4 linked regions of the Pelodiscus sinensis genome follow. The protein of the gene in region 3 interacts with the protein of the main gene of each other region in a pairwise test. Links are inferred from orthologs where the notes say so. Each region holds a gene or a part of one and is shown on either strand. Other genes may lie near its edges.

What was found.
Region 1: the proteins of REL (region 3) and ATG9A interact in binary tests that used the Homo sapiens proteins (3 or more experiments, as listed by UniProt). The two-hybrid records come from large-scale screens. The link is inferred for Pelodiscus sinensis from reciprocal best matches to the Homo sapiens genes REL and ATG9A.
Region 2: the proteins of REL (region 3) and PARVG interact in binary tests that used the Homo sapiens proteins (3 or more experiments, as listed by UniProt). The two-hybrid records come from large-scale screens. The link is inferred for Pelodiscus sinensis from reciprocal best matches to the Homo sapiens genes REL and PARVG.
Region 4: the proteins of REL (region 3) and OSGIN1 interact in binary tests that used the Homo sapiens proteins (3 or more experiments, as listed by UniProt). The two-hybrid records come from large-scale screens. The link is inferred for Pelodiscus sinensis from reciprocal best matches to the Homo sapiens genes REL and OSGIN1.

What each region holds. Positions count from the first base shown.
Region 1 is NC_134717.1:16,897-23,824, reverse strand, and holds the start of ATG9A (autophagy-related protein 9A), read right to left. Parts: upstream 3,010-6,928; 5' UTR 2,968-3,009; coding exon 2,708-2,967; intron 2,410-2,707; coding exon 2,248-2,409; intron 1,867-2,247; coding exon 1,725-1,866; intron 1-1,724. UniProt on the Homo sapiens protein: Phospholipid scramblase involved in autophagy by mediating autophagosomal membrane expansion. Cycles between the preautophagosomal structure/phagophore assembly site (PAS) and the cytoplasmic vesicle pool and supplies membrane for the growing autophagosome.
Region 2 is NC_134711.1:121,883,423-121,891,093, forward strand, and holds the start of PARVG (gamma-parvin), read left to right. Parts: upstream 1-4,651; 5' UTR 4,652-4,885; intron 4,886-7,671. UniProt on the Homo sapiens protein: Plays a role with ILK in promoting the cell adhesion and spreading of leukocytes.
Region 3 is NC_134713.1:180,083,571-180,091,157, reverse strand, and holds the start of REL (proto-oncogene c-Rel), read right to left. Parts: upstream 3,013-7,587; 5' UTR 2,778-3,012; coding exon 2,771-2,777; intron 1-2,770. UniProt on the Homo sapiens protein: Proto-oncogene that may play a role in differentiation and lymphopoiesis.
Region 4 is NC_134722.1:38,364,404-38,372,036, reverse strand, and holds the start of OSGIN1 (oxidative stress-induced growth inhibitor 1), read left to right. Parts: upstream 1-4,628; 5' UTR 4,629-4,713; intron 4,714-5,295; exon of another isoform or gene 5,296-5,450; intron 5,451-7,214; exon of another isoform or gene 7,215-7,304; intron 7,305-7,633. UniProt on the Homo sapiens protein: Monooxygenase catalytic activity. Involved in regulation of cytokinesis; promotes RHOA activity, probably acting locally at the midbody in late cytokinesis.

The sequences.
Region 1 (6,928 bases), on a different chromosome or scaffold from region 3:
CGCCTTGGAGTCTGGCAGAGCCGGGGAAGCAGCCCCCCTCCCCCGCGGCGCCGAACCCCACGGTGCCTCAGTTTCCCTACCCGTCAATGGGGATTCCGGCCTTGTCCTGGGGGAGACGGGCCGGTAATCCGAACATGACCCCTGCTCTATGTTCGCCTGAAATCTCACGCCAAGGGAGGTGTCTGGGGAACGCTGATGAGTCACTGTTGATGCTACTCACACGCAGGTGTCATGGTTGTACGGGAAGTGAGGAAGCAGAGCAGCAGCCAGCGAGTGGGGAGGGCTGGTCCGGCTGCCGGGCCCACCCAGCAAGAGGCAGTGGAGCTGGGGGGCGCCAGCCGCACTGAACGGACCTTCCTGCAGACCCTCCGTCTGGGGGGCAGCGCCGCGGTGGCCTAGGGAGGCCCGAGCCCTGGGCAGGGGCCGGCCACGGACACGCTCCACCCTGGGACCCACAGTGACAGCCCCATGGCCGGGGGATCCGGGGGCCTGGCAGCCCCGCCACAGGCCCTCAATCCAGCTCCGCACCGCCGGGTCCCTGCCAGGAAGCGGAGCCGGAAGGACGAGGGATGAGACGCCCCCATTGCAGGGGTCCTGGTGCCGGTGGGTGGCCAGGACCCGTGAGCCGTGGCAGCCGGAAAGGACGAGGGCCCATCGTGCCACGCTCCAGAGACGTGACCTAGGCCGGCAGATCGTCCATCTCGGCCGCCCGCCGGCACCAAGACCCCTGCAATTGGGGGGGGGGGGGAGTTCCGATTCCTGTCACCAATTCTAAAGCCCCCTTTTCTCATTAATAAGCCTTGAGATCGTAGATGCTAAAGGACGGGACCAGAGAGCTCTTGGGGTGAGATCTGAGGCATAAATCGCCCTGGGATTGGGAGAACCTGTTGGGAGGTAGGGGGGTGGGTCGTCACCTCCTCCCTGTGTAAGGGGGGCTGGGGGGGCACAGGGATCACTGGGGTGTGCGAGGGGAGGTGGGGGTTGGGTTAGAACCTCTCCCCTGTGTAAGATGGGGCTGGGGGGCACAGGGAGCACTGGGGTGTCTGAGGGGAGGTGGGGGATGGGTTATCACCTCTCCCCTGTGTAAGGAGGGGTTGGGGGGGCACAGGGAGCACTGGGGTGTCTGAGGGGAGGTGGGGGGATGGGTTAGAACCTCTCCCCTATGTGAGGTGGGGCTGGGGGGGGCACAGGGAGCACTGGGGTGTCTGAGGGGAGGTGGGGGATGGGTTAGAACCTCTCCCCTGTGTAAGGAGCGGGGCTGGGTGGGCACAGGAGAACTGGAGCGTCGCAGGCCATTGCCTGTGCGGTTTCTGGTTAACCAGTGTGGTGAGTAGCAGTGGTTTGGTGCCTTAGAGCGGGGGAAGCCAGTGCTGGGCTGTAAGTAACTCTGTCCATGAACACTTTGCCCTGAACTGAGCCTCTCAGTGATTCCCTGGTTACACCCTGCCTGGGAAAGCTGGACAAGGCAGCTTGGCGCGGGCGAGGCTCTGGCACGGCAGGGCGGGGCCGAGCCGGTCCAAAAGCTCAGCACTGGCTGGAGAGCTGCGCCGCAAGACCCGACACCCCCCACGCGGGCGTTTGCCGAAAACAAGCTGAAAGGAAGCCACGTGATTGCATCACCTCTGACCAGAACCTGTCCGGGCAGTGGGCGGGGCCCCAGACGGAGAAATGAGGCTCGGGCGAGGGGTGGGGTGAACCTCCTCTCCTAGGGCTCAGCCGCTCACCATGGGGATCTTGAGGGCGTTGATGTAGAAGGAATGAATCTCCCAGTAGCAGCAGATGTTGTAGATAAATTTGATGAGTCGATGGACCCAGAACACGCTGGCTATGACCAGGATGGAGATGAGGAAGCCGTTCTGCTGGATTCTGCGAGGGAGAAGAGACGACACCTGCAGCTCGGCAAGCCCACCGCGCAGCCGTATCCCGCGGGAGCCCGAGCGGAACTCAGTGCACACACCCACCTCTGGGGTGGATACACCAGCCACGTAACCATGCACAGAATGCCGCCAGCACGCACAACTCACAGGAACACATGACCCAGAACACAAGGCAGCCCGGCCACGCAGGTCAAGCCAAACCAGGGACTTGCAGCCTCTGAGAGCAAGGGCTGTGGACTACACGGGGGAGAGAATCCACCACTCCATCGACCTCTTTCCGGGAGAGGCCTGGGATCTCTGGCTCCGAACCTGGCCTGGAAGGGTGACAGGCTGCCAGGGCTGGAGGCGGAGGCGTGGCTGCTGCCCTTACCTTGCGCTGCAGACGCTGGGAGGCAGGAAGGCGTCTGGCAGCGTCACCTTGACGGGCTCGCTGGAGTGCTGGCTGTGATTCACCATCTTGTTGGCAAACAGGATGTCGTAGTCGACGCAGCTGACAAGGAAGGTGGTGAAGGCCACCACGAAAATGAACTGCCTGTGGGCGAGGCAGCGGCCGTGAGGGGAACGCTCCTCCTGCCCCCAACACACCAATAGGCCCCAGGTCCCAATGCCCCTGGCATGACATCAGCAGATTTGGGGAGCAGGGGACCAATTCCTGGGGATGGAGGTGGCCACCAAAGCGGGAGAGGGAGACAGGCCCTGACTGAAAGGGGAGGGCCCTGATCCCAACTCTGGGTGAGTGGAAATGCTGGGGCTCAAAGAAACCAGCCCTTCACCCCAACTGCAGCAAGAGCCCAGAGGAAGCCTGCCCCCGCCCAGCCCCCGAGACGTACATGAGCTCAAAGATCTCGCCAATCAGCATGCAGGTGAAGCCGTTCTTCTGATGCAGGTTATAGACGTGGGCAGCGCAGTCAAGGAGAACAGCCAGGAGACGGGCCCAGACCCCCTCCCATCCCGATCCTCTCACTGGCCACCAGTCAGGTCGGATGGCTGCAGGGCGAGGCAGGCCTGGCCTCCGTGCCCAGCCCAGGCTGAAGGCCAGGTTAGCCTGCCCCAGGAACCCAAAGTCCCGCCCCCCCCGGGGACACCCCATAGCCAGTAGGGTAGGACCTCGGCAGCACGGAGCTAGGAAAAGACGGATCCCGAGCCCAACGTCGTACTGACATAGGAGGTCCGGGCGGCCCATCAACGGTGGAGAAAGTCACTTCTGCCCCATCCCCCCGCCCCCCACAGCTCCTCTCCGCCCTTCTCCTCAGGAAGGGGAACCTCGGCTGCTTGGCTCGTCTGGAGGCCTCCGGGCCGGGAGCAATGCAGCCGCCAAGGAGATGGGACTTGCGCCAGCTGTTCCCACGCTGACCTGCCTAGACAGACTGCGGGCCAAGCTGATGCTGCTCTGACCACCCCCCGTGCAGCAAGGATATGCGAGAGAAGAAGAGGTCCAGGTTCTCTATGTGATGCCAGGGAGCTGCAGGACAGAGAGAAGGGAAAGGGGGTGATGGCCCATCACGCTGCAGCCTGCCCCCGGGAGGGAGGGGTGGGCGCTCACTGCGGGCTAGTTGTTCTTGTGACACAACGGAGGGCAGCGAGGGGGCCGGGTCTACGCAATCCCCCCAGGCTGGCGGCCGTGGGCCGGAGCGGATCCCTGCCCGCCAAGGAACTGAGCGATTCCTGCCCCTCGCACATGCCTGCCCCCACCCAGCCCCACCAGCCCCCGCTCACATTTACTGCCCTCGGGGACGTGCACCAGCAGGTCCTCCTCCCCCGGCGGCGAGTCGCTGTAGGAGGCCTCCAGCCGCTGGTACTCGGTGTCGAAGTGCGCCATGTCACCAGCCGGGGGGGCGTGGAGCGCCGGGGCCTGGGCGAGAGACCGAGTCAGTGGGGGGGGGGACTGAGCGGGAGGGGGATACTTGGTGGGACAGACAGGGGGGAGAGAGCGAGTCGGGGGGGGACAGGCCGAGGGGGGAGAGAGCGAGTCGGGGGGGGACAGGCCGAGGGGGGAGAGAGCGAGTCGGGGGGGGACAGGCCGAGGGGGGAGAGAGCGAGTCGGGGGGGGACAGGCCGAGGGGGGAGAGAGCGAGTCGGGAGGGGGGAACAGGCCGGGGGGGGGAGAGCGATTTGGGAGGGGGGAACAGGCCGGGGGGGGGAGAGAGCGAGTCGGGGGGGACAGGCCGGGGGGGGAGAGAGCGAGTCGGGGGGTGGGGACAGGACGGGGGGGAGAGAGCGAGTCGGGGGGTGGGGACAGGCCGGGGGGGGAGAGGGCGAGTCGGGGGGGGACAGGCCGGGGGGGGAGAGGGCGAGTTGGGGGGGGACAGGCCGAGGGGGGGGGGAGAGCAAGTCGGGGGGGGACAGGCCATGGGGGGGAGAGCGAGTCGGGGGGGGACAGGCCGGGGGGGGAGAGAGCGGGTCGGGGGGCGGACAGGCCGGGGGGGGGAGAGCGAGTCGGGAGGGGGACAGGCCGGGGGGGGGAAGAGCGAGTCGGGGGGGGACAGGCCACGGGGGGGAGAGCGAGTCGGGGGGGGACAGGCCGGGGGGGAGAGAGCGAGTCGGGGGGGGACAGGCCACGGGGGGGAGAGCGAGTCGGGGGGGGACAGGCCGGGGGGGGAGAGCGAGTCCGGGGGGGACAGGCCACGGGGGGGGAGAGCGAGTCGGGGGGGGACAGGCCGGGGGGGGGGAGAGCGAGTCGGGGGGGGACAGGCCGGGGGGGGGAGAGCGAGTCGGGGGGGACAGGCCAGGGGGGGGAGAGCGAGTCGGGGGGGGACAGGCGGGGGGGGAGAGCGAGGCGGGGGGGAGAGCGAGTCGGGGGGGGGGACAGGCCGGGGGGGGAGAGCGAGTCGGGGGGGACAGGCCGGGGGGGGAGAGCGAGTCGGGGGGGGGGACCGGCCGGGGGGGGGAGAGCGAGTCGGGGGGGGACCGGCCGGGGGGGGGAGAGCGAGTCGGGGGGGGACAGGCCGGGGGGGGAGAGCGAGTCGGGGGGGGACAGGCCGGGGGGGGGAGAGCGAGTCGGGGGGGGAGAGCGAGTCGGGGGGGACAGGCCGGGGGGGGGGAGAGCGAGTCGGGGGGGGGGACAGGCCGGGGGGGGGAGAGCGAGTCGGGGGGGGACAGGCCGGGGGGGGGGAGAGCGAGTCGGGGGGGACAGGCCGGGGGGGGGGAGAGCGAGTCAGGGGGGGGACAGGCCGGGGGGGGGGAGAGCGAGTCAGGGGGGGGACAGGCCGGGGGGGGAGAGCGAGTCCGGGGGGGGACAGGCCACGGGGGGGGAGAGCGAGTCGGGGGGGGACAGGCCACGGGGGGGGGAGAGCGAGTCGGGGGGGGACAGGCCACGGGGGGGGGAGAGCGAGTCGGGGGGGGACAGGCCACGGGGGGGGAGAGCGAGTCGGGGGGGGACAGGCCACGGGGGGGGGAGAGCGAGTCGGGGGGGACAGGCCGGGGGGGGGAGAGCGAGTCGGGGGGGACAGGCCGGGAGGGGGGAGAGCGAGTCGGGGGGGGGAGAGCGAGTCGGGGGGGGGACAGCGAGTCGGGGGGGGAGAGCGAGTCGGGGGGGACAGGCCGGGGGGGGGGGGAGAGCGAGTCGGGGGGGGGAGAGCGAGTCGGGGGGGGACAGGCCGGGGGGGGAGAGCGAGTCGGGGGGGGGGACCGGCCGGGGGGGGGAGAGAGCGAGTCGGGGGGGACCGGCCGGGGGGGGGAGAGCGAGTCGGGGGGGGGACCGGCCGGGGGGGGAGAGTGAGTCGGGGGGCGGACCGGCTGGGGGGGGGGAGAGCGAGTCGGGGGGGGACAGGCCACGGGGGGGAGAGCGAGTCGGGGGGGGACAGGCCGGGGGGGGAGAGCGAGTCCGGGGGGGACAGGCCACGGGGGGGGGAGCGAGTCCGGGGGGGACAGGCCACGGGGGGGGGAGAGCGAGTCGGGGGGGGGGACAGGCCGGGGGGGTAGAGCGAGTCGGGGGGGGACAGGCCGGGGGGGGGAGAGCGAGTCGGGGGGGACAGGCGGGGGGGGAGAGCGAGTCGGGGGGGACAGGCCGGGGGGGGAGAGCGAGTCGGGGGGGGACAGGCGGGGGGGGAGAGCGAGGCGGGGGGGAGAGCGAGTCGGGGGGGGACAGGCCGGGGGGGGAGAGCGAGTCGGGGGGGACAGGCCGGGGGGGGAGAGCGAGTCGGGGGGGGGACCGGCCGGGGGGGGGGAGAGCGAGTCGGGGGGGGACCGGCCGGGGGGGGGAGAGCGAGTCGGGGGGGGACAGGCCACGGGGGGGAGAGCGAGTCGGGGGGGGACAGGCCGGGGGGGGAGAGCGAGTCCGGGGGGGACAGGCCACGGGGGGGGGGAGCGAGTCGGGGGGGGACAGGCCGGGGGGGGAGAGCGAGTCCGGGGGGGACAGGCCACGGGGGGGGGAGAGCGAGTCGGGGGGGGACAGGCCGGGGGGGTAGAGCGAGTCGGGGGGGACAGGCCGGGGGGGGGAGAGCGAGTCGGGGGGGACAGGCGGGGGGGGAGAGCGAGTCGGGGGGGACAGGCCGGGGGGGGAGAGCGAGGCGGGGGGGGACAGGCGGGGGGGGGAGAGCGAGGCGGGGGGGGACAGGCGGGGGGGGAGAGCGAGGCGGGGGGGAGAGCGAGTCGGGGGGGGACAGGCCGGGGGGGGAGAGCGAGTCGGGGGGGGACAGGCCGGGGGGGGGAGAGCAAGTCGGGGGGGACAGGCCGGGGGGGGAGAGCGAGTCGGGGGGGGACCGGCCGGGGGGGGGGAGAGCGAGTCGGGGGGGGACCGGCCGGGGGGGGGAGAGCGAGTCGGGGGGGGACCGGCCGGGGGGGGAGAGCGAGTCGGGGGGGGACCGGCCGGGGGGGGAGAGCGAGTCGGGGGGGGGGAGAGCGTGTCGGGGGGGACAGGCCGGGGGGGGGAGAGCGAGTCGGGGGGGGACAGGCCGGGGGGGGGAGAGCGAGTCGGGGGGGGACAGGCCGGGGGGGGGAGAGCGAGTCGGGGGGGGGACAGGCCGGGGGGGGAGAGCGAGTCGGGGGGGGACAGGCCGGGGGGGGGAGAGCGAGTCGGGGGGGGACAGGCCGGGGGGGGGAGAGCGAGTCGG
Region 2 (7,671 bases), on a different chromosome or scaffold from region 3:
GTAACTGCAGATCTGCTGCCTACACTCCTTGCCTGGCCTCACTTCCTGGCTTTACAATGTTATCCCAACTTCCCTCCTTTACCACAAGCTCTGCTTCCTCTATCATTAGGCCCTATCACTATTCCTGGAGTGGACCCAAAGTTTATCTAAGGTTAATGGGCCCCTTCTGATCCATATTAACTGGTCCAGGATGTGTAGGATGGGCCTAGCATCACTCACTTGTTAGATTTATAGGTATTGGAGCTAAGTAGCACTCCCCAGCTTGAAGTGGTTTCCATCACACAGAGGGTTTACAGTTTGGGTCAATGGATCTCGACACCTCCACTATACAGCTTGTTCCAGCCCCCTTGTTTAGAGACCATGCAAACCTGGGCAAAATACAGCCTGTAGGCTGGATCCAGCCTGCCAAGCCCCCAGATCCGGCCTGTGGATGCTGCAGTGAGCCCTAGGCAGGCTCCCTGCTTGATGTGTCCCACCCACATGCTGTTCAGAAAAGCAGCTGCGAGGCCATTTCTCTTTAAAAACTGAGAACCCTGGGGGAGGGGAGAAGGCTTCAGGCACTGCTGCTGCCCCCAGCACAATCCCATTGGCTGATTTCTGGCCAGAAACCAGCCAATTGGAGCTGCCTGTTTTAATGACAGACAGTACACAAAGCACCATGTCCCCCTCCCCTCCGTCTCATAGTTATTCACACAGGCACATAGCCCTGCAGCCTGCGTGGGGGCAGGGTAGGCTCCCTGCCTGCCTGAGAAACGTGCTGGGCTGCTGGTCCAGGGTCACTCAGGTAAGTCTCCTGGACAGAGCCTACCTCTGGCACCCCAGCTCTTCCCATCCCCAGTCCTCTGCCCTGCTCCTGCATCCATATACGCAAGAGCTCTCAGTGGCCAGAAAGCTGCAGCCCCTTATTTGTCCTGTCAGCCACTTCTTTGAATGAAAGTTACTTTCAATCATCCAATGGGTAGTTGGCCAGTTGGGTGCCCCAGATCACAATCCCCTCTTTCACTCAAACTCCCTCCCAGACCCCACTCTCCCTCCTGCACCCTAGTCCCCTCCCCCAAGCTCCCTTCTGCACCCAACCTCCATCCCAGACCCCAAACTTCCTCCATTAATATCATGGAAGAGTGCAGCCCTTGACCACTTCGCAAAATTTTTGAGTACCCCCCCCATCAAAAATTATTGCCCATCCCTGGATTGTTGTGCTTAAATTGGGGCACATTGGAGGAGAATTGTAGACTAGCACCTGCAAATGTGTAAGTTAATGAGAGGCAGGTTGTAGGCACAAAATCCCAGTTAGTTTGGCTGAATGATAAAGAGAGATGGCAATTCTGAAGCTGTTTTTGGAATTTTTAGGAATTTAAGAAAGCTGTTTTAGGAAATTTTTCCCCCCCAACACGATGTAATGTCAAATATGCTATTAAAACCTCCATGATTACGTTCAATAGCCAGTGGGAGACTATCTGTGGGAGCAGAATGGCAATCATGTACCATTCTGTGATGGCGAGGAACAGAGACATGGTTGAGGCTGTAACTTGGAGTAAAAATGTGACATTTTAAGAAAAGAAAAATTTAACTAAATATTGCATAGGGCTATAAGAGTGAGCCCCCTTGGGCCGTGGAATAATCTCCCAATGGAAGTGGGGGAGAGTCTTATTGTTTATGAGACTTAAAACTAAATTGGACTAGCCACTTGAATTTATTTCTGGGACTCATCGTGCATTGGTAAGTGGATGGATACGAACTCACAGGCTTTCCCCACCCGTAAGACCATTATAATATTTCTAAATGTTAGACTAGGAGAAAATCTAAATATTCTACCCTAAAGAACAATTTTGCCCTTTCTGACTTCATAAAGAAAATATTTAATCAGCTAACTTGTGGGTGTCTCTGTATCCTACTTACGAGAGAGATGCAGCGTTCTGTTCTGCAGCATAACCACAATTTTCCCTATCAGTAAAATACCTAAATGTAAAAGAGATTTTTCTTTAGACACCGACCATGTTTTTTAAAAGAACCTGAGTTCCATTTTCACAAGCGCATAAGAGCCTGGCTTTTGTTTACTTTCAGTGGCCCCTCACGAGCCAGGCTGTCAAAAGCATTTACTGTAGATGTCTAATGACACAAATAGCTGGACAGCGAGCCTTTCTAAAGGCCTACACCCCAACTAATCCCCAGAGCTGCTCTCACACTTGAAAATCCTACCAGGCACCTAAGTTTCCTCTAAACTGTGGGGCTGCACAGCTTCACATTAAGCCCTGCTCAGGGTATCAGTGTTGGAGCAGGGAGAGACCCCTCTCTCTAAGTCCTGATGCTGATGAGGGGTGCCCTCTGCCTCAGCTTAGAGCTGAAGTGGCTAGCGGAGCACCCAGGTAAGCTCAAGATCCAAACCCTTGCCCCACCTAGTGCCCCTTCCAGCCCTGAGTACCCTCCTGCTCCCCAAAGCCCTCATCCCTGGCCCTACCCCAAAGCCCACACTCCCAGCCCAGAGCCTGTACCCTCTCCTGCACTCCAACACCCAGCTCATAGCCCTTCCCCAAACCTGGATCTCCCTCCTGTACCTCAAACCCCTCATCCCTAGTGCCATCCCAGAGCCTACACCCCCAGCCAGAGCCCTTGCACCCCAACCCTCTTTCCCAGCCCTGAGCCCCTCAGCTCAGCCTCACTCTGGAACCTGCATCTCTAGGTGGAGCCTTCACACTTCTGCACCCCAACCTTCTGCCCCAGCTCTGAGCCCCTTCCCACACTCAGAGCCCCTTGACCCCACTCCCACCATGTGAATTTTTTTATGTGCACCAAATGAAGATGATGTCACAGCACTTTCGTGTTGCACAGCACCTCCGCACTGATGCACATAAGAACATTCTGCTCAGGAGTGGGAAAAATTACAGGGAACGCTGCCAGGCACCTAGCTACATCTTTTACATATCTAAATACCTGTGAAAAATCAAGTCCCAATCCATGTTGGCAATTTAAAACCTTCTGATTTGGGACAGATTTCCTTCCGTCAAACCTCCTCACCACCACTGATGTCAAAGAGGGTTTTTCTGAAGGTGCCAACAGCATCTCCAGATGGCCTTGTGTGTCTCTCTTCTTTTGCTCACTGCTTTGTCTCTTTTACTTGATTTTTTTTATACCTTTACCCAAGCTAGTGCCTGTGACATGGGCCTTGCTCATGGATTAATAGGAAGATAGCATATCCTTGTTTTGCGTGTATGATTTTATTTTTCTCCCTGCACATGGGGTGAATCTGTGAGGGGACAATGGAAGTTTACCCCTGTGGTCCAAAATCAAGCATTCCATGCTGAGCTGTCAATACCTATGAGTTCATTGACTGAATATCTCTGTTCCATTTTGACTTGGTTATAATATTCCATATAATATTCCAGAATTGCCACTTATTGTCTAGGATGCAAAGCAAAACATAGGGGAATCTGAATACCATTACAACAGATTGACTTCATTTGTGACAGTGGCTTCTTATCCCATTGTGTGGATTTGCAGAGGGCTCCAGGTTTGTTTTCCATCTCCATGCAAGTTTTAAAAAATTACAATCACCACTTGGAAGAAGAGCCTGAAGAAAATGAGTGTTGCATGTAACTTTTCTACTAAGCTGGGGAAATAGACGTAATGCATTGCCCAGGAATGTAGAATAGCAGGTGCCATGCAGCACAGAAGAGCAACAACTGCCTAATGCTTTTGATTTCTGGATATTTGAGGCAGGGGAAGGGGAGACGTGAGAAACAGAGACAGTGTTTTATGTACATTTTACTGTATATTTTAATTTACATTTACTGCCATTATTGTAGACACTAGGGCTGTGTCTAGACTGGCCAGTTTTTCTGGAAAATCAGCTGCTTTTCCGGAAAACTTGCCAGCTGTCTACACTGGCTGCTTGAAATTTCCGCAAAAGCACTGACTTCCTACTGTAAGAAATCAGTGCTTTTTACGGAAATACTATGCTGCTCCCGTTCGGGCAAAAGTCCCTTTTGCGCAAAACTTCTGCGCAAAAGAGCCATTGTAGGCAGCTGAGATTTGTTTTCCGCAAAAAAGCCCCAATCGCGAAAATGGCGATCGGGGCTTTTTTGCACAAAAGCGCGACTAGATTGGCCACAGACGCTTTTCTGCAAAAAGTGCTTTTGTGGAAAAGCGTCCGTGCCAATCTATACGCGCTTTTCTGAAAATGCTTTTAACGGAAAACTTTTCCGTTAAAAGCATTTCCGGAAAATCATGCCAGTCTAGACGTAGCCTAGTAGAGACTATACTTGCTGCCATCAGGGTCTGAACAGAATTGTGGTTTCGTTTTTCAAAAGTAACTTAAGAACTGTGTGTAACTTTCGTCTTGATAATCTTCAAGCTGCTTTGAATGGAAGGCAGCAATTTCAACACAAAGCTGCCCAAAACTTCATCATCTGATAGGTTTCATGCTCTTTTCCCATGACCTTGCTTCGAATTGACCCCCTCGAGTGACACTTTTGAAGAATTAAAAGCAACATGGTATCAGTACTTTTATATAAAATGTTCACATGCACATTGATTATATGCACATTAGCCAAACAGCCTCTCTTTCTGTTGCTAACAAGCAAAAATTCTCTTGAAAAAAAAAACCCACAGTGCAAAAGGAGGAAGTAAGGGACTGTTCTAAACTGAGTGCAAAGAGCTAGTCTTCCTCTTTGTTTCCTACCATCTTGTCTCACGGTGGTGTTCTAACAAACAGCAGCAGGATAAACTTAGGTGGATTAATTAAATCCTCGCACGTGCAAGGTTTATTTTTTCAGACTCAAAAGCCTTTTGTTTGGCACTAATTTTGAGCTTATTTGGAATACTGCTTTTGGCTTGTTCCAGCAGGAAATAAATCAATTCAAACTTCTTGGTGTCTTCATCTGCAAAAGTAAGTGTTTCATGTATATTATGGTAAAGTATAATTAGGAGCAGTAAAAACATAAGCAATAGTTCAGGGGAAATTTGGGGAACCAGACTGTGAAGGGGAAGTAGAGGAAAAGCTAGGTAATTTGAACTATTAATACAATTGGTTATTTTTCTACCAGAACCATCTTATCTGCTATTTTCAGCCATTAAGGAACTGCTGCACTACAGCTTGTAGTATTCTAGCAATTTTTGACCTCGCTAAAAACTTTCATTAACTAGTCCTAGAGATTGCAGAAAAATGAATAGTTCTGGTCTTTGAGATCTACATTTATGATATTGTCTCCGTAACAGAGAACCAACAGATGCCATTTTTCTGGAAGAGTGAAAAGTAAGGCCAGTATGATTTAAAAATTCCAGATCGCTCTTCTAGTATTTGTTTTATTCCAAGTGGTGTTCATCAGGTACAAGTATACAATGCATGCCTGGATGCAGTGCCAGAGAAAGTGGCCTGGTAGTAAAGGAAACATAGAAAACATGGTCTGCAGAGCAGCAAACACTCTCCACCTCCCACAACACAATTAAGGAACTGAAATAGAAAAAAGATTCCAAATGCATTCACGTGCCCCCATGATGTTAGTGCAGGCAGTTGTCTGGGACGTGTACAGACATCCAGAGGTGGGAGGGGAGTTGTTTAGCACTGAAACTTACTGTATCAAATTTTTGAGCTTTTTGCTGGAGCCGGGGTACTCAAACTTACTGGCCCACCAAGCCACGTACAATAATCTTCACAGATGTGGCAGGGTGGTGGGGTCACAGGGCACCAAATCCTGACAGGGGCCTTCCAAGGGGCTGGAGCTCTGAGCCCCCCTCCATTGGGCAGAAATCCTGCACCCCACTGCGGGGCAGAAGCCAAATAGGAAGGAGTGGTGGGTATCCTGAGCTGCACTATAATTGTAAAAGAATCACACTGGGCTCACGAGCTGCAGTTGGGCCACTAGATTGTAATGTGGAGCCTGATCCAGAATGCATCGTTATTATAATAACTAATGATCCTCTGAAATGCTGAGGCCCTCAGTTCTCAGCTGAGCCGATCATTGAGCCCGAAGAGTGTATTTACATTTGCTGCCACCAATTTTTAATCTCAGGCCTGTTCATGCATGACGTCAAGAACTTCCTGTGACAGGCAGAGATCTGCAACCCCTGTAGCAGTAGGTGCTCAGAATCTTGCCAGTTTGTCAGACATTTGTATGAGGTCCTCCCTGGTTTTCCAGCATGTCCACACAGCTCCTTAATCAATCAGAGTCAGGGTTCCCAGGACCCAACCCCACAGCATTCTGCACCCAGGTTGTCAACTGCCTAATCGCACAAACCCAAGCGCTCTTGCTCTCCAGGGCACCATTTTGGGAGGCCAGGAGGGCAGCAGCCCCCGTCCCCCTGTCAGGGAGTGAGGGGAAAGGACGTGGCCTCTGTGCATGCCTCTCACTCCTGGCTGGTGAAGGGAGGGGGCAGGGGATTAAATCCTGGAATGCAAGTACTTTCTCTTTGCTCCCTGATAGTCAGGGGAACGGGAAGAAAAGGAAGCTGCGTCCCGGTGCGCACGGCTGCTGCCCCACTATGCCTCCCGAAATGGCGCCCTTGCTTGCTCTGCCCCTACCCCACCCTTTCTCCAGTCTCCATCACTACTCCAGCCCCCTCCCTCCATTGCGCGTTATCCCCCACCCTCACTCACTTTCCCTGGATTGGGAGTGGGAGGAGAGGCTGGCTGGGGGCTGGAGCTGAAGGGCTCAGAATGTGGAAGGGGACTCCAGGATGAGTCTGGGGCAGGTGGTTGGGGTGCCAGAGGAGGTGCAGGATTTGGTTTCCTTCGGGAGTTTGGGTGCAGGACGGGAGTTTGAGGTACAGGCTCTCGGTTGGACTTTGGGTGTGGGAGGGGACTCAGGGCTAGGGGAAGGTGCAGGAGGAGGTGTGGGACGCAGGCTCTGGGCAGGCTCATGCTGAGTGGTGCCTGAAAGTGCCATCCTGTCCCTCCAGGTCCTAAGTTGGGGGCAGCCAGGCAGCTCTGCATGTGGGTACTGGCTCCAGGGCTCCCATTGGCCATGGTTTCTAATGGGAGCTGTGGAGTCAGTGCTTGAGGCAAGGTCAGCACACGGAGACTCCCTGACTGCCCCTGCACCTACTTGCTGCAGGGACATGCTGGCTGTTTCCAGGAGCTGTGAGGAGCCAGGGGAAGCAGGGAGCCTGCCTTAGCCCACTGCACTGCCAGCTGGACTTTTGGCCCATTGAAATATCCCAGGTTGCTTTCAATAGTAACTGGGAGATTGAGGCTGATTCCAGGAGACTCGTGGACCATCTGGAGGGGGTTGGCAACCCTATTGTGAACCCTTGTAGGCGTGGGGAGTGAGAGAGTGGCAAATACAGGCACTGTGCAGGATAGCAGAGAGTCCCTGAACTGTACAGTCTAATAGACAAGGCAGACACCTGGAGGGGAATACACACACCGCGTGACCAGTATGGCAGTGGCCAATGTCTTGTTTGTGCTGTAATTTCTCCAGCCATCCCTTTTTGGGGGGTTTCGGTAGAAGGAAGTTTGGTAACTGGAAAGAAAAGTGGCGAGGGAAGGAACACTGTGGTGAAGGAGGAGGGGAAGGCAGGACAGGGTGAGGATGAGGGCAAGAAGGGCAGATGTGGTATGGCACAGCATCCTCATTCCTCTGGTGAGTTAGTCATACAGTGGGTCCCAGCTCAGCAGGAAGGGCAACTTCCACAGGGCCGCTCCACCCACCCCACTTCCTGTGCAGATTGACAGGC
Region 3 (7,587 bases):
CTTGCCAGCAATCACTCTAATTCATGCAACCAGTTCTAAAACTAAAAATTATTAAATCCTTATGAAACATGCCTGAGGACAAACTTTTCAAAGGATGTGGAATGCAAGGACTTTGCTGAGACCAAGAGAAACTAAATTAGAACTTTGATTCCTATGGCTACCAAATCTGTGATCACTTTCAATGGTACTGCCTCTCCCTTTCATACTAATTTATTTTGGCCATCACCTCTTCTAATTTGAATTGGGATCAGTTAAGCACTAAGCTGACATTAGCCAACTGATGTTTGCCCCAATCTGAGACATATACTGTAAATTTAGTCTCTTTATTTGAACAAGGATTCATTTTTCTTTTATATTTCAATGAGCCATTTTGAACATTATCAGAATCTTTTAATGTTTTAATTAATTCAGATGTTATGTTTGTTCATTAACTTATTCCTTATGGCTACCTAAGAGCTACTTGGACAAGGATTTAATATTGCTTCTAAAAATTGTGATTGTCGCCTTTTTAGCAAAACATCTGAAAATCTTGGCTTATTATTCTTAATGAATAACAAAAATAGGCCAAGATTCTCAGATGCAACTAGTGACTTAGGAAGGGAGGCACTCCATTTTTAGGTGCTCAACTTGAGACAATGTATAGGCACTGTACACCTACCCTTAGAAAGTCATATCCCTTTAAGATGTCTGAAGTTGGGTACCTACATATTTAAGCAGCCAAAAATCACTAGTAATTTTCATAACCTGTTCATGTGCAATATATATTGAGCCTCAAAAATCACTGCATGCATGAATTAGTTAAGACACACCTCTTAAACAACTGGGGCTTTTCATGTTATATTAACTCTTGCAATTAGGACATTTCTGGGTGATTGAAATGCAACTCTCTCTTACCCTCAAGACTGCCACAACCCACAAGGATCAGAGGCACCAACTGTCCAATATGGTGACCATTTATTTTTATTTAAAAGTTTTGCTACCTTCTTTCCAAGGGATAAAATGACACCTTTAAGGCCCTTTAGGAATACCCATGCTCACAGTAGAAATAAATCTCATTCCCAGTTATGACAGCTGAGAAGGAGCCTGGGTTCCTTGGATGCCCTGATAGGAAAAGGAAGACTCTCCAAAGCTCCCTCCCACTGGCAGGCATTTACTCTCCTCCTTCCCACCCCTCCTCAAAAAAACCCTGCTTTATTACAGGGAAGGTAAGGCAGGATAAGAATCAGTGCCTTCCTCCCAGATGTTAAGCAGCAAAGGAGGGAACAAACTAGCACCCAGGGAGAGCTTCGTACAAACAAAGCAGTCAGATGTTTGTGAAAAGGGGGTTAGTGCTCATCCACCTGTACCATGGATGTGAGTATGGAAGGGATCTAGCAAGCCTATTGCAGATGTCAGAGCAGTGGATGGAGCTCATGTCTACCTAAGGAGTAGGTTCTCAGAAGAGGTTCTAAAATGGGCTCACCCCCCTCTCATGCCACCACCGCTGGGTTTTTTTTTGTTAAAGGACATTCATATTGATCAAATAACCAGCTTTTCCTCTCCCACCTTCAACCAAATGACAGCTGAGGGAAAGTGAATGTGACTGTCCCTTATATAATGTTTGTTATATTCTCCTATATACACTAACTGCAAACAAAACAGAACATTGGGGTTGCATTTTCAAATGTGAATATTCACAATTAGACAACTAAACACCTATTTTAGGCATCTTAATAGGGATTTGGGGACCTAACTCAGATATTTAACTGTTTGAATACAGATTTAGATGCCTTACTTTTTAATATCCAAGTCTGAAAATTTGGTCCAAACTGTGTCAAGAAAATTACTTGAGTATTCATAAACGTATTGTTTAATTTTGTTCTTCTACCACAGAAAATTTCACATGGTGTAAATTTTGTGATAAGCTCAGGCACAGGCATATTTGTGTGTATATTTTACACTTGTTTCATATTCTTCTCTTTGATTGATTTATCATAGAAAGTAGTAGCGGAAGGAGGAATTTTAAATGTTGGGGACATGACTATAGTGAAGTGAACAGAACTACTGACATTTACACCCATGGTGAATTTGGTCTTATAAAATTCTGCCGGCATTCTTACAAAAAGCCACACTTGAAACTCATGTCATGTGAACAGACTTCCTCATCGACTAGCTCTCACACGGCTACTTCCCTTCATCAACAACAACAACAAAAATTAATTCTTTCCTTCACCACCTCTTCCTGTGTGTCACACTCAAGTCATATTCTCATCAAGGCCTTGGTGGAGCTGTTTTTGTTTAGGTCGGTGCGCACACAGTAGACCCTGAATACACAGCCATGTCAGATTCAGAAACTTGCCATTGGGCGAGGTCAGATAATGTCAATCGAGCCTCTCTTGGCAGCAGATGTCTTCACGGCAGGAATAGAAGGCAAGTGTCTTCTGCCAAGCCCAGAGCTCTGCCCAAGCTGGGTGAGGAGGGCACGCCAGCCCAACTCACTGCCGGTTGTACGGAAGTTAGGCACCTCGTCACACGCTTGCACTGTTCGCAGCCCCCCAGGTGACCTCTCCTCACCCGCTAAGCCCTTCGGGGCTTCAGAGGCTTTTGCACGCGTACAGGAGATCGACGCTACAGCCTGCAGTGCAAGCCCAAGCTCCGTATCACTGCATGTCCCCACACTGCACGGGGCAGCCCTTCCACCGGCCGCCCCGCCGGGGCTCGGGCTGCAGAGGAGCTGGCCCCACGCAGCGAGCGCAAGGCGCCCTATGGAGAGCGCCCTGCAGCCACTTACCAGCCATGGTGCCCGCTCAGCCCGGGACTCTCCGCGGCGGCGGTTCCGCGCTCTCCTGATGCTCCGGCTCAGCTGGTCCCGGCCCTACCTCGGCCGCTCCTCCCTACGGCTGGGAATTTCCCGCTAGGGTGACGGCTTGGTGACGTCGGACTCAAAAAGGCCGGTCTCCCCCCCACGCTTGCTGCGGCTGCCCTGTGCTGTACGCTTGAGGGGAAGGGAGGGGAGGGATGATCTCAGCGGGGATACACCTACCTACAGTAGCAGCAAGCTGTCCCCTCCCCCCTCCGTGCTACAGAGCTACATGCAGTGCCCACACGCCGCGGTGTAGCGATCTGCTGGCTGCTCCCCGCCCCCAACCTGCTTCCTCCAGCTGCACCTCCTCGCATGCCAGGCTGACCCTCGCTTGGCTGCTAGAGTGTAACATACGCCTCGCATGCCAGCACTAGCTGGGGCGCTGTCCTCTGTTGCCACTGGCAAGACAGGTTCAGGCGGTTCCTGATTCACTGTCAGCTTGTGGGGTAGTGTGAAAGTGCCCTCTCTGCTGGGCATGCACAGATTTTCCTCTTCTGCTTCTATCTCACACAAATACACACAGCCCCTCTTCACACCGTACAGGTACCCCATATATAATTATAATTCACACACACGGGGTAGCCACATTGATACCAAGAGACGTGCTTTTGAAATATCTAAAAGTGCGAACCTCAGACGGGACAACTTACAACTTAAAATACAACGAATAGTCTTACAGCACCTTAGAGACTAACAAAACATGTAGATGGTATCATGAGCACAACCCACATCTTCAGATGAAACACAGTAAGTCAATTCAACAGTAATCTATGGGCATGACAAAATTCACAATGTTGCCTATGTGTAAAACAAGCACAAGATGTCCAGGCAATCGTCCCACTTGGGTGCAATGCATTACACTCTCTCACACTGCTGCAGTATCAGTATCAAGCAGCTCCATAATCATGGTTGCAATTGAATGACCAATTGAGCTCCTTATTTCCCAGACTATAATAACCAACATTAGTAGATTAAATATGATATTTTTAGCAAATTTGACAATTGATTCCTCAATTGTGACATACTAAAAACAAAGCTGCTCTCCGAGTTACGAATAAGTTACGGATCAACACTTGGTCCGTAACTCAAAGTGTTCATAACTTGGATCCCAGAGAGTTACATGGTGACCGCACTGTTCGTAAGCGCAGATCGCCGTTCGTAACTCGGATCCGTATTTATGACTGCTTTGGTTGTAAGTGCGGATGGTCGTAAGTGGAGGTGGTCGTAACTCCGGGAGTGGCTGTAATTCAAGATTTTAACATTTTTTTCATGCCTGCCCCAGTTTAAGCAGTTAACCAGTTAACCATAATATTTTTCCAGTTAACAGATTAAATGGGATTTTACATCCCTAACTCAGTCCTACTACTTTAATTAGTTGAATTGGAACAGTTTACAGACATCCCTTGAACTTTGCAGAAATCTAGATTCAGGTGCCATACTGGCTCCAACCTCCATGATTTGCAGAGAGGTCAATGTTGAGCGAGTCTAAAAGAGTAAAAGAATCCCTGCTCACAGATTTTTTATTTTTTTTTGGTGACGTGAGGATTACTTTGCACTGAGCTAGCAACAAGTTTTTAGCATTTAAATCTTTTAATTGAGAATGTTTCAATCATACATAATGGCAAGTAATAAACAACAAATCTAAAGTAACATTCTTGAACAAGACACATTAAAAATTAGTACAGTAACGATGGCTTGAAAATGTACTGAAGAATAGCACTGAACTGATATTTTCTGTCATGTTTCTTCCTATCTCAGCCTTTTTTATTTTAAACTAGGCATATTAGGATAATACATTAAACACCAAAACAGGAAATCATATTTTTTAAATATTTAAATTCAAACATACCAATTTATGACCTGAAGTAAGAAGGATTGGACAAATTGTAGCATAATATTATTTTCATCATTTTGTAGGCCAATGCAACCCAATGGAAGTAAATGAGAATCTGCCTACATCAGGTATGAATTTGGTTCCATGTTTCTAGACATGCTCTCCCTATCACTTTGTACACTGGGCTAAAAAAGCACTTTTCCTCCCTAAATATCCGTAGTTGACTTTTCCTGTACTAGCAGGTATGTAAAATTAGAGACTTTTTTTCCCTTTACAAAACAAAATTAAAATTTGCAGGCTTCTGTCTCAATAATATTATCTAAATTCCTAGCATCAGTACTTTAGCTGGTTTAAATCAACAGAGCTCCTCTGCTTCTAGAGAACTGTGCCTTTTACACCTGCCAAGGATCAGGACAAGTATGTTATGTATTGCACATCTATTCAATTGTTAGCATGGTAGGCTTTATTACATATGTACTGGGTGTAGTACAAATTAATTTATTAAACTGTATACATAAAAACTAAATAAAGAAATCCTTTGGATTAGGCTGTAAGATTATCCAAATCTCTATTCTTTTGCTCCTGATTAAAGGTTTGAAAGGGATGAATGGCTAGATCATTGAAATTCAGTGGTCCACAGATGTAACAAACATTGTTTGTATATTTATTGCTTGGAACAGGAATACATATTGATTTTTTCCCCCAAAAAATCAAAACTTCAGATGTATTGTACTTGTACAGCACCTTTCACACATATTGCATCCTAAAGCTCTACAGGGTTAGGAGTGGACTTTATAAGATGCTGATTGAATTAAGCACCTAAATGCCTTTGAGGATTTGGACCTTAGATACTAACAGGTGTCAAACAAATACCCCAAGAAAGGTATATTTACATGGGAGCCATAGTTTAGATTTTCTAACACAAGTCTGATTTTACAGAGAGAAAAAGAGAGAGATTTGGAAGTGATTTGGATAAGGGGTTCCAGAACTATGATAGCTTGGAAAGAGTGGATTGATTAATTTAAAAAAATATTCTAATTTTGTTGCCACTTTGTAAGTAAACAAAAACATCCATAAAGCAAGAGAGAGGAAAAAATAAAATTCAGTCTTTTAATAGCTGAAATTCTGTGTCCAACATCAAATTTTAGGTGATTAAATTCTAATGTCAAAAGTGAATTTACTTTTGCATTGCTAACATTGCTATGGAATATCTGCTCTAAACTGGTGAACTTAATTCAGCTGAAAATATGTTCTGACATGCAAAAGGTCCTGCCTATTATATAACTGGTTTTGACAGGGTAATAAAAAGGAAAGGGGAAGGCTACAGCCTCGCTCCTCCCAGTTGTTGATCCTGGAAAGACCCTGAGTGGAGTCAATTTATGCTGGGTTTTAGTTTTGGTAGTAAAACAAGGCATGAAGAAAGAGATATGAAGTAAAGTGTAACTTCCCCAGCTGCTAAGCGTGCAATCCAGTTTACAAGATGTCACGGAATTAAGAGAGACTTATGGTTTCAATACAAAAGAAAAGAAGAAGAAGCCTCTCTCTCTTTCCCTGAACAGACAGATCTTAAGAGGAAACCTGACCACTAGAGAGGCTCCTCAATGGAAAGGGAACAAAAAAAGGATTATTTCCAACCAACAGTTCACAGAATGGGGATTGCTGGTGAACCTGTCATGACTAGTGAGAGTCTGTGAATCCTGAACCATGTGTAAGAATGTTTCAGACTCAGAAGCTAGTTTTGGTATGGCGGAGGAGCTAGAGCTGCAGGGAACTTAGGATCCTAATTAGAGAGGTTCTTCCCTCCCCCTCTCATCCTGCTATTGCTGATCCCCAAGCCTCTTCCTAGACATATTTTTCCTCTCCCCCTTCCTATGTGCTATAAGAAGAGACCATTATCCAGTTCTTCAGAGGTCTCCCCCTCCTGTCCAGAAACTGGAGTTAGGACACTTAGTAGTCAACATGGCATGGGTTATTCCCTTTTCCCCTATGCCTCCTAACTTCTGCAGGACTGGATCTCTTAGGGCTTGCAGGAGCTGGTCCATGGGCCCATTTTTCAAACTATTCCTAGCAGGCACATATCAGTGTCTGGAGAGCATTCTGCAACCCAAGAACATTATATTTTTAAAAAATGACAGTACCTAGAAAATTCAGGGTTAAGGTTGTGCTCCTCAAAACAATGCTTCTAACGACCTTAACTCTGCCCCCATAGAAAGAACTGTCTACCTTGACATCACATAAGAAAACTTAATACTGTATAGAAACATTTTGTTGCTGACTTGCATCTATTGTAGTTTTAATTTTATTTATCTGAGAGCTTATTCATGTTTGAAGCTTAACAGAGACTGGGCTGAGCTACTCACTCTCACTTAGAGAAAGTTCTCTAGACACAGCAATGTGAGAGAGCTCTCACAGCAATGGTGTATAGTACGGCTACCACAGCACAGCTACATTGATAGAAATTCTGCTGTAGCATTGTAGAATAAATGCTTCCTATAGTGACTGAAGGATTTTTTCCATCACTATAGATGCTTCATTTCCCCAAGCAATGTCAGCTGGTTACCAGAAGCATTCTTTCATTGACTTATCTGAGTCTGCAATGGGGGTTGGGTCATCATAGCTATGGTACTCAGGCATATACATTTTTCACACATCTAAGCATTGCAGCTATATTAACCAAACTTTTAAGCATAGACCAGGTCTTAAAGTAGGTGTACACATAACTGAGTATAAATGAGAATCAGTCCCCAATAGTCCAAAAATTATTTTACAATGGCCAATTAATAAATAAATCTTTCAATTTCCACTGTTCTCACCAAACCTCATTTTAATTATTTTAAACATTTAGCAAAATCAAATACATCATTTCATCTCATCACACACTAATTTACTCTTGCTCACTCCTCCCCCTCCC
Region 4 (7,633 bases), on a different chromosome or scaffold from region 3:
CCATTCAAACACTCTCTCAGCTGGAGTGATGAAATAACCAGGCCAGGGGTAAGCACAACAGGCAGGGCAATTGCAGAGGAGCTTGTCCTGCTATTGCCCATTTTATCCTTGGTACAGGTAGGGGAGCCTTACTTGTGATGCAGGCAGGAGATGTCTCTGGACTGTATCTGGTTCTGCAAATCAGAGTGAGGTTCATTGAGGGTTTCCAAAGTCATCAATGCCAGGCTGCACACTATCCATCAATAAAGGAATGAAAACCTTTGCTTTTTATGTTGTGAAAGCCCATACTCATAAGAATAAATTAGCCAACCTTAAGTACAGAGGGGAGGGATGCCTTTGTGAAAACCAGACCAAATCTTAGCATTATGTACAGCATAGAGCAGGTATAGAACCAAGATGCTTCAGGATACCATACTCAAAGAGGCTCTGGGAGACAGGCCCATAGTCTCCTATAGACAACCACCTAACCTCAAGATGATTCTTACCAACCACCACAGGACATACCACACTAATACCAACCCTGGTACCTTCCCTTGCAACAAACCCCGTTGCCAGCTTTGTCCACATATTCATTCTGCTGATACCATTATTGGACCTAACCAAGTGAGTTATAAGATCAAGAACACATATTCCTGCGCATCCAGAAATATAATCTATGCTATCATGTGCCGAAAGTGTCCGTCTGCTATGTACATTGGACAAACATCTCAGACACTTCGCCAAAGGATTAATGCCCACAAAACAGATATCAGACAAGATCACAAAGAGAAAACAGTTTCTTGCCATTTAAACCAGAAAGGTCACTCTCTCAATGACTTGACCACCTGCATTCTGCTACAAAGACCTTTTACATCTGCACTTGAAAGGGAATCCTCTGAACTGTCATTCATGTTAAAATTCGACACTTGCCAACAAGGACTTAACAAACATTTGAACTATCTCACCCATTACCAAGACAGTTTCCCCAATTATCACCTCTAATACCATTAACTCACAAACATCCCACTCTCCCTACCTCTAATATCATCAATTCACAGACACTTACCTTCCTTCCTCCCCCCCCCCCCCCCGCATCCCCCTTCTGTTCTGCAATGTGATTTGTCCTTTTCATATTTGTTCATTTTTTTAATTGTATCCTTTGGTATATATGGTTGTGACTACTTTCTTCCACTATTTGATCTGAGGAAGTGGGTCTGGCCCACGAAAGCTCATCATCTAATAAACCATCTTGTTAGTCTTTAAAGCGCTACATTGTCCTGCATTTTGCTTGGTCTTTCAGCGCTTCAGCTGGAACAGCAGTCTCAGCTGACTGCTTCCCAGGAGTTGGTGAGAACCATGGCAGCACCAATAAGGAAATTTTCTTTGCCTAATAAAACATGAAGTCTTTTTATATTTATTTTTACTGGAATTAGATGAAACATTGAACAGTAAAAGTACTGTCCTTGCCTATGGAATAGATCACTCTGGGCATGTCCCAGTAATTATATATATGGCAGGAACATGAAGTGCTAACTTGTGAAACAGCAGCATGCCAAGAGAGTTTGGAATTGAGTGAAGGTTCACCTATGCCAGAGGCATTGGTGGAGTCTATAAAGATGCACATGAAAGTAAAGATTACTCTTCCCCTGTCGTGCATGGCCTGAATGTAAAGAACAGAGAGATTTCTGACAATGAAGATGATATTTTGCCATTTAAGATCAGAACCCGGCAGTGCGAAGTCTAGCTCTCTCTGTCTTCAAGCACAAGGCATACATATAATGGTGGATAATTTGAACTAGATAGTCTCTGTTGACGCCATTGAAACCTGTAGCAACAGTAAATAGCTCATGGGTATTGTAGCAGACTGGGACATCCATGGGTTGTCTGTGTGTGGGCTTGTACCCTGAGAAAGTATATAATTACATATCTGAACCAGTTCCCAGGAATAAACTGCCTTAAGTGACCAAAGAAAGAAAATGTGAAACACACTGGGGCTAAAGGAACAAAATCCAGAGCAAACTCTGTCCCTCTTCCATCAAACCACAGCCTTGCCAAGTGGTATTAGTCCCATGACAACACTTCCTTGTGCACTATGGAGAAGTTTTGTTTAGTCACTGACGCAGCATGGAAGGCGTGTTCGTGTGGAACTTTCTGGCTGCACTTAACTTTATGCCAATATGGATGCCAGTAAGACCAGAGTTAACCCTTAATGTGCCAAAATGTGATCCTCAAGATCACAAGCCCTTATTTCACAAACAGTTTGCTCTTTAATGTCACTGAGACATTAGTGTTGGATTCAGGTGGGTTTCTGTTAGATCAGGTGCTGTTCAGGAGTTATTCTGGATTAACTGAGGATGGAATTAAATCTTACATTCTGTTGTCTGTCTGGGTCTAAATTTTACTGTTAATTTGTTTTAAATATTGAATTTCTTTATTTCTAATAGTAAAATTTTGAAAGTTTAAGGGGAAAAAAGAAGTCTTTGCCGTTCACCACCTCTTAATTACTGGACCTTCTCTTTTGGTTTCAGAAATCTTTTCCGCTTGCCATGCTAGACAGAGGCAATCTGATTCTTTCTATGCTACTCATTGCATGCCATATGCCTTGCAGCAGTGTAAAGGGAGGCAGTGAACGCTTGCTTGTGCAAACTGCCTATCCACTAATTGTTTGCAAAAGATTAAGCTTTGTACTGGAGAGAGTTTGGAGCTGAGCAAAATAAGACTTAAATGTGCAACGTTGGAGTAAGAGTTGGTGCCAATTCTCAAAACAAAGTGAACTGAAGTTTCTGATTTAGAGAAACAACCTTAAAATGCTGTTTTCTAGAGATACGGAAGTCACACTGATGTTCTATACAAGAACGTCTGTAAAGTTTTCCTCTGGGCCATATTAATCAAATGACTAAAAATGAACTGGTGGTCATAACTCTACTTGTGGGTCACAGGCTACTTGCTTCCTCTTCTGGAACATGCTAGCAGATTGTGACAGACTGCATTAGACTCAGAAAGAAATCTGAGTTAAATTCCACCCTCCCATTTCCCACATGCAGGAGACTCACAAAAAGAGAAACAGATCAGAACAAACCTGGAGTGGAGTCAGTGGGGTGTTTATATTAAGAAAACAATAACAAAAGCAAGCCAAGATAAGCTATTTTCAATGGTCCTACTGTGGAGGCAAGTAAACTGTGTGATATAGTAATGTTAAGTCATTTATAGTGATAGAAATGTAGCCGTGTTAGTCTGGGGTAGTTGAAGCAAAATGCAGGACAATGTAGCACTTTAAAGACTAACAAGATGGTTTATTAGATGATGAGCTTTCGTGAGGAAGTGGGTCTGGCCCACGAAAGCTCATCATCTAATAAACCATCTTGTTAGTCTTTAAAGTGCTACATTGTCCTGCATTTTGCTTCAAGTCATTTATAGTCTGGAGAGAAAGTACTAACATCTATCCATACCTCATGAACACTGTGTGAAGGAGACATTCCTTAGCAATGATGTAATTGACTTCCTGGGCCAGAACAAGTCAGTAAGATTACAATATAGGGAGAAGAGGTGAGAGTGGCAGTCCTGGAAATGGAAAAAGCTTCTTAAATAGACTGTTTAAAATAAATAAACCCTCTACATGAGGAACTAGCAAACCCCTCATTACTGGATAAGTAAAATAGAAATATTGAATGTGGCCACAAAGAGTGATAATCTCTCTTTGGAGTTATGTAGAAATAAACACAAACTCTAAATTTTAAGAAGTATTGAACTATGGAGAAACTCAGAGTAGAGCCTAGATTCATATCTGAACTTGGTGGCACATGCTGCAGTTGGGGTTTCTGAAAATTGTCTTCCATCCTCTTAAGTCAGTCATTTTCAATAGGACTTAACAGTACTGTATTTTATGGCAAGAAGTGTCAAGCACATTAAAGTTAAAGATTCAGTGTCTGACCCCAGCAGTATCTCTCAGTCTGGAAAGTTTATGGCTGGTGGTAGGGGACCCCAGCCCCTCCTTGCTCTGTCAGGTTTCAACTCAGGGCCCTGTGACTGGCTGCTTAGATATTCAGAATGCCATCAGGATCGCTTTCATTCGTGTTTTTAATCACCTCCAAAGTCACAACAAGAGCTGGCTTGCAGTCTCCTGGCTTGATGCCCCAACTCTGGCTCTGCTAGGTATAGTGTTATTACTAGGCCCCACTGAGTCTTCAGGAAGTTGATGTGATACTTTTGCATCTTCTTTTGCTTTCCAGGTTGACAGATCTCAGGCAACTGGCCAGACCCTCTTTGCCACTGGGCCAGTAGTTTTGATGTAGATGTCAGTAGTAACACTATTCCTTTCACCAGGTTCAAATTCCCTCCCCACCTCTACCCCCATCCATGGGAGGTGTATTCCTGGACTTGTTGGGCTTTTACCGGGTTCTCTTTTGAGAAGCATCCATTCCTGTAGCTGGGATACGTATGAGACTGAGCTCATGATTTGCAGTTCCTGTTCCTCATGGTCTTCTCAAAGGGGATCCACAATCCCCACAGGCTGTCTCCCCTACAATAGCTGAAAGTGTGCAAACCTTGTGGGAGCTTGGGGGATTTATTTATGGCAAACAGCAGTGATAGCCACAGTTGGTCCTAGTGCTGAGCCTGTGCCCATGAATTTTCTTAACATTTTTTTCCAGGTCCCACTGAATCGCTCCACTAGACTGTTACAATGCACATCTATGCATTGTAAATGGAGGTCTTGAGAGCCTGCATCTTCAGTAGGTAAGACAATTCCCACATCAGTGTGCCTGAAGTTGGACCCGGGGTCTCTCAGTATTTCGGTAGGGGGCAGTGGTGTTTATTTAATATGTACTAGCCAGCTTCTTTCAATGAAGTATGGTTGAAATTCAAAATATCAACCAAAAGGGGAGGACGTTCCTCCTGTGTGATCAGCTGGAATTGCAGTATTGCTGACCCTACATAGTCCTAAAAGATTCTTCAGTTTTAATGAAAGCATGCTGTACTACCCTGCCACCCTTAATACCAATAATTGTTGCTGTGGCAGCTGAGTGTTTTAAATAAATATAAACTTCAAACGTCAACCCAATACAATGCAGATTAATTTATACAAAAGACTCTTAGGCTAAAAAATAAAAAGAATTAAAATCTGTTTAGTGTTGGATTCTTGTCATGTGGGAGCAACAGAGGTCTGGTTCCTTTAAGGCTGTTTTTCACAATGTTTATTTCCTTCATGATGTTATCTTACAAACACTAAGTGACTCTGCATGGTTCATTCATAACTAGGGTAAGTGAAGTAGTGTTGCTGACTCATGCTTAGTGAGTGATTTTTCTAGTCCCTCCCACCCAGACTTCAACCCCACCTCCTTAAACTAAGAACTAGTTGCCTACTATATTTAATAGCTGTCTTGGAGCTGGGAGCACTATACAGTCAAGACATGTGTGTTCTGCTTCTGTAGAAATACAAGACTTTTCCCTTCTCATCAGCTTCATTTTCTGAGGTAAGAGGACTGTAGATATATAAAGCAAGCTTTATTAGCCAGGCATAAGTAGCACATTGCTTTCTAGGCTGGCACAGGGGAATACTTTTAGAAAGAAGGTGTCTCACATAACCAGATTGCTTCTCAATTGTTTCTAAGGAAATATTTGTGGTGGGATCACAAGAATAAGACTGACAAGGAGTATGTGATGATGTATTTTGTTGGACCAACTTCTGTTGGTGAGACAGGCAAGCTTTTGAACTTACACAGCAGAAATTAAAGCAGAAAGATTCTATTACAACTTTAGAAGGATGTAATGTACTAAAGTGTCAGTATTTTAAAAAAGAATGAATGAAATTAAATGATATTGCCTATAACTGCCTGTGAAATTAACAGAGAACAAAAGAAATTAACAATTGATGGAAACTGCTGTGTATGTGACAAACTTTTGTGTCTCTTGTTATACCAGAATCTCACAGAAACACCTGCAGGCCACTGTATTATTTATATACCAGCTGCTTGCCTTGCTTAAAACTGTTCCATATCTTGTACAGGCTTGCTTTTATGGTACTTTTAAAAGTAAGACTCCTGTTGATGACTTGGAGCTTTGTATTGCTAACCGATCACTGCTTGCTCTCTCCCTTCTTTGGATTTTTAATTCAATTCAGTTGTGCAGCCTGGAAATACTAGGGGTCACATAGGCTTGTTTTATGTGCGTGATATCTTACGTCCAATGGGAGTACGTGTGTAACGAGAACAGGATTCAGCCTTGGAAGGGTAAGTTAGGCATTTCTCTTAGCCAGAACAGTTATGTAACATTAGCTAAGCAGTGCAGCATTTTGGTGGCAATGAGGGAGCGGCTTCTGGAGTATGATAATAATAGAACTGAAAGCACTTCCAGATTGGGGCATAAGGGGTGTTGCAGGGAATGGCACAGTTAAGTTGGAACCCTAAATTAGAAGCCAGTACTCTGAACACAATCTTTGAGATGGCTGAGTTGGAATATTGGGCGTTGTGTTTTACACAAAGGAAGGTGAAAAGGAAAAGAACTTTGTTTCTCTTGTCTGAGGTAGCTTCCCCCCTCCCCCCCATCCTTCCCCATTACACTTTCGTAGCAAGTTCAGTATAAATCCTGGGAAACCTCCCATGCACCTGGGGCATTTGAGTAACAACACTTACAGTGAATAGGATTTGACCTGCTACCTGGATTTCAATGGAGAGAACGTGTCCTCCCAGTTTGTAGTGTGGTCCAAAGATTTGATCTTTGATTCTAATGACATAAGAGAATTTTTCTCCCCTGTGTCTGCAGCTGTTCTATATTTACAACATGTTGAGCTAAATCTATTTCCATTTATGCAAATGGCTGTAATGCATTTGCAAAGGTATAAACTGATGCAGAACTTGGCCCAAAGATGTTAGCTCGCTTCTGATAAAACAGGTAAATTACATTTACTATAAACTACACAGGTGGCAGATCTAAAGCATGAAAGGAATACTTCTATAATCTGTAGAGTTGTTCAAAGATAACTATTAACAATAAGTTTGCCTATTATTCTACACAAAAGGAAATTATATCCAGAGGTATCAACCACCTAACCAGATGCACAGCAATGAAATTGGCATAAAGGGGTACACTTGGTTTTTATGTGAACTGTTTTAGTGCTAGTTTTATCTAATCTGGATTTGTAGCTAAAACATCCCCACAGTGTAACCAGTGGCACTACCCTTACCAATAACTGTGGGTATAATGTCCATGAATGTCTCTTTCTTTTTACATATCAAAAGCCATAGAAGCAGACTTTACACCTTCTGGGCCCCTGCTGTAGACACATAGCAGAGCAGAACAGCTAAAAGCCAACACAACCTGCTCCTGAGGTAGGCAGAACTACACAACGGGTTCTGGTGCATTTTGCTCCACCTATGTCCCCTAAAAGAAGCATTTTAGCAGCAGTCTCAGTAGTAGCATGATATGTTCCTATGCTGTGCTGCCAGTGACTGGCTCATAGACCATTGCCCATCCGCAGAGAGCATGTAGCCATTTATCAGCAGTGTTTCTGTAGACTGTTAGGGGAGAAATACTCACCACTGTTTTCTAGGGACTTTGTATCCTTCCTCTTCCCTCACTGCATCTAAACAGAGTCATCCAAACCTTCATGATTTACTCTGCTAGGAGACATACCATGGACCTGTATGTTGTGTGGAAC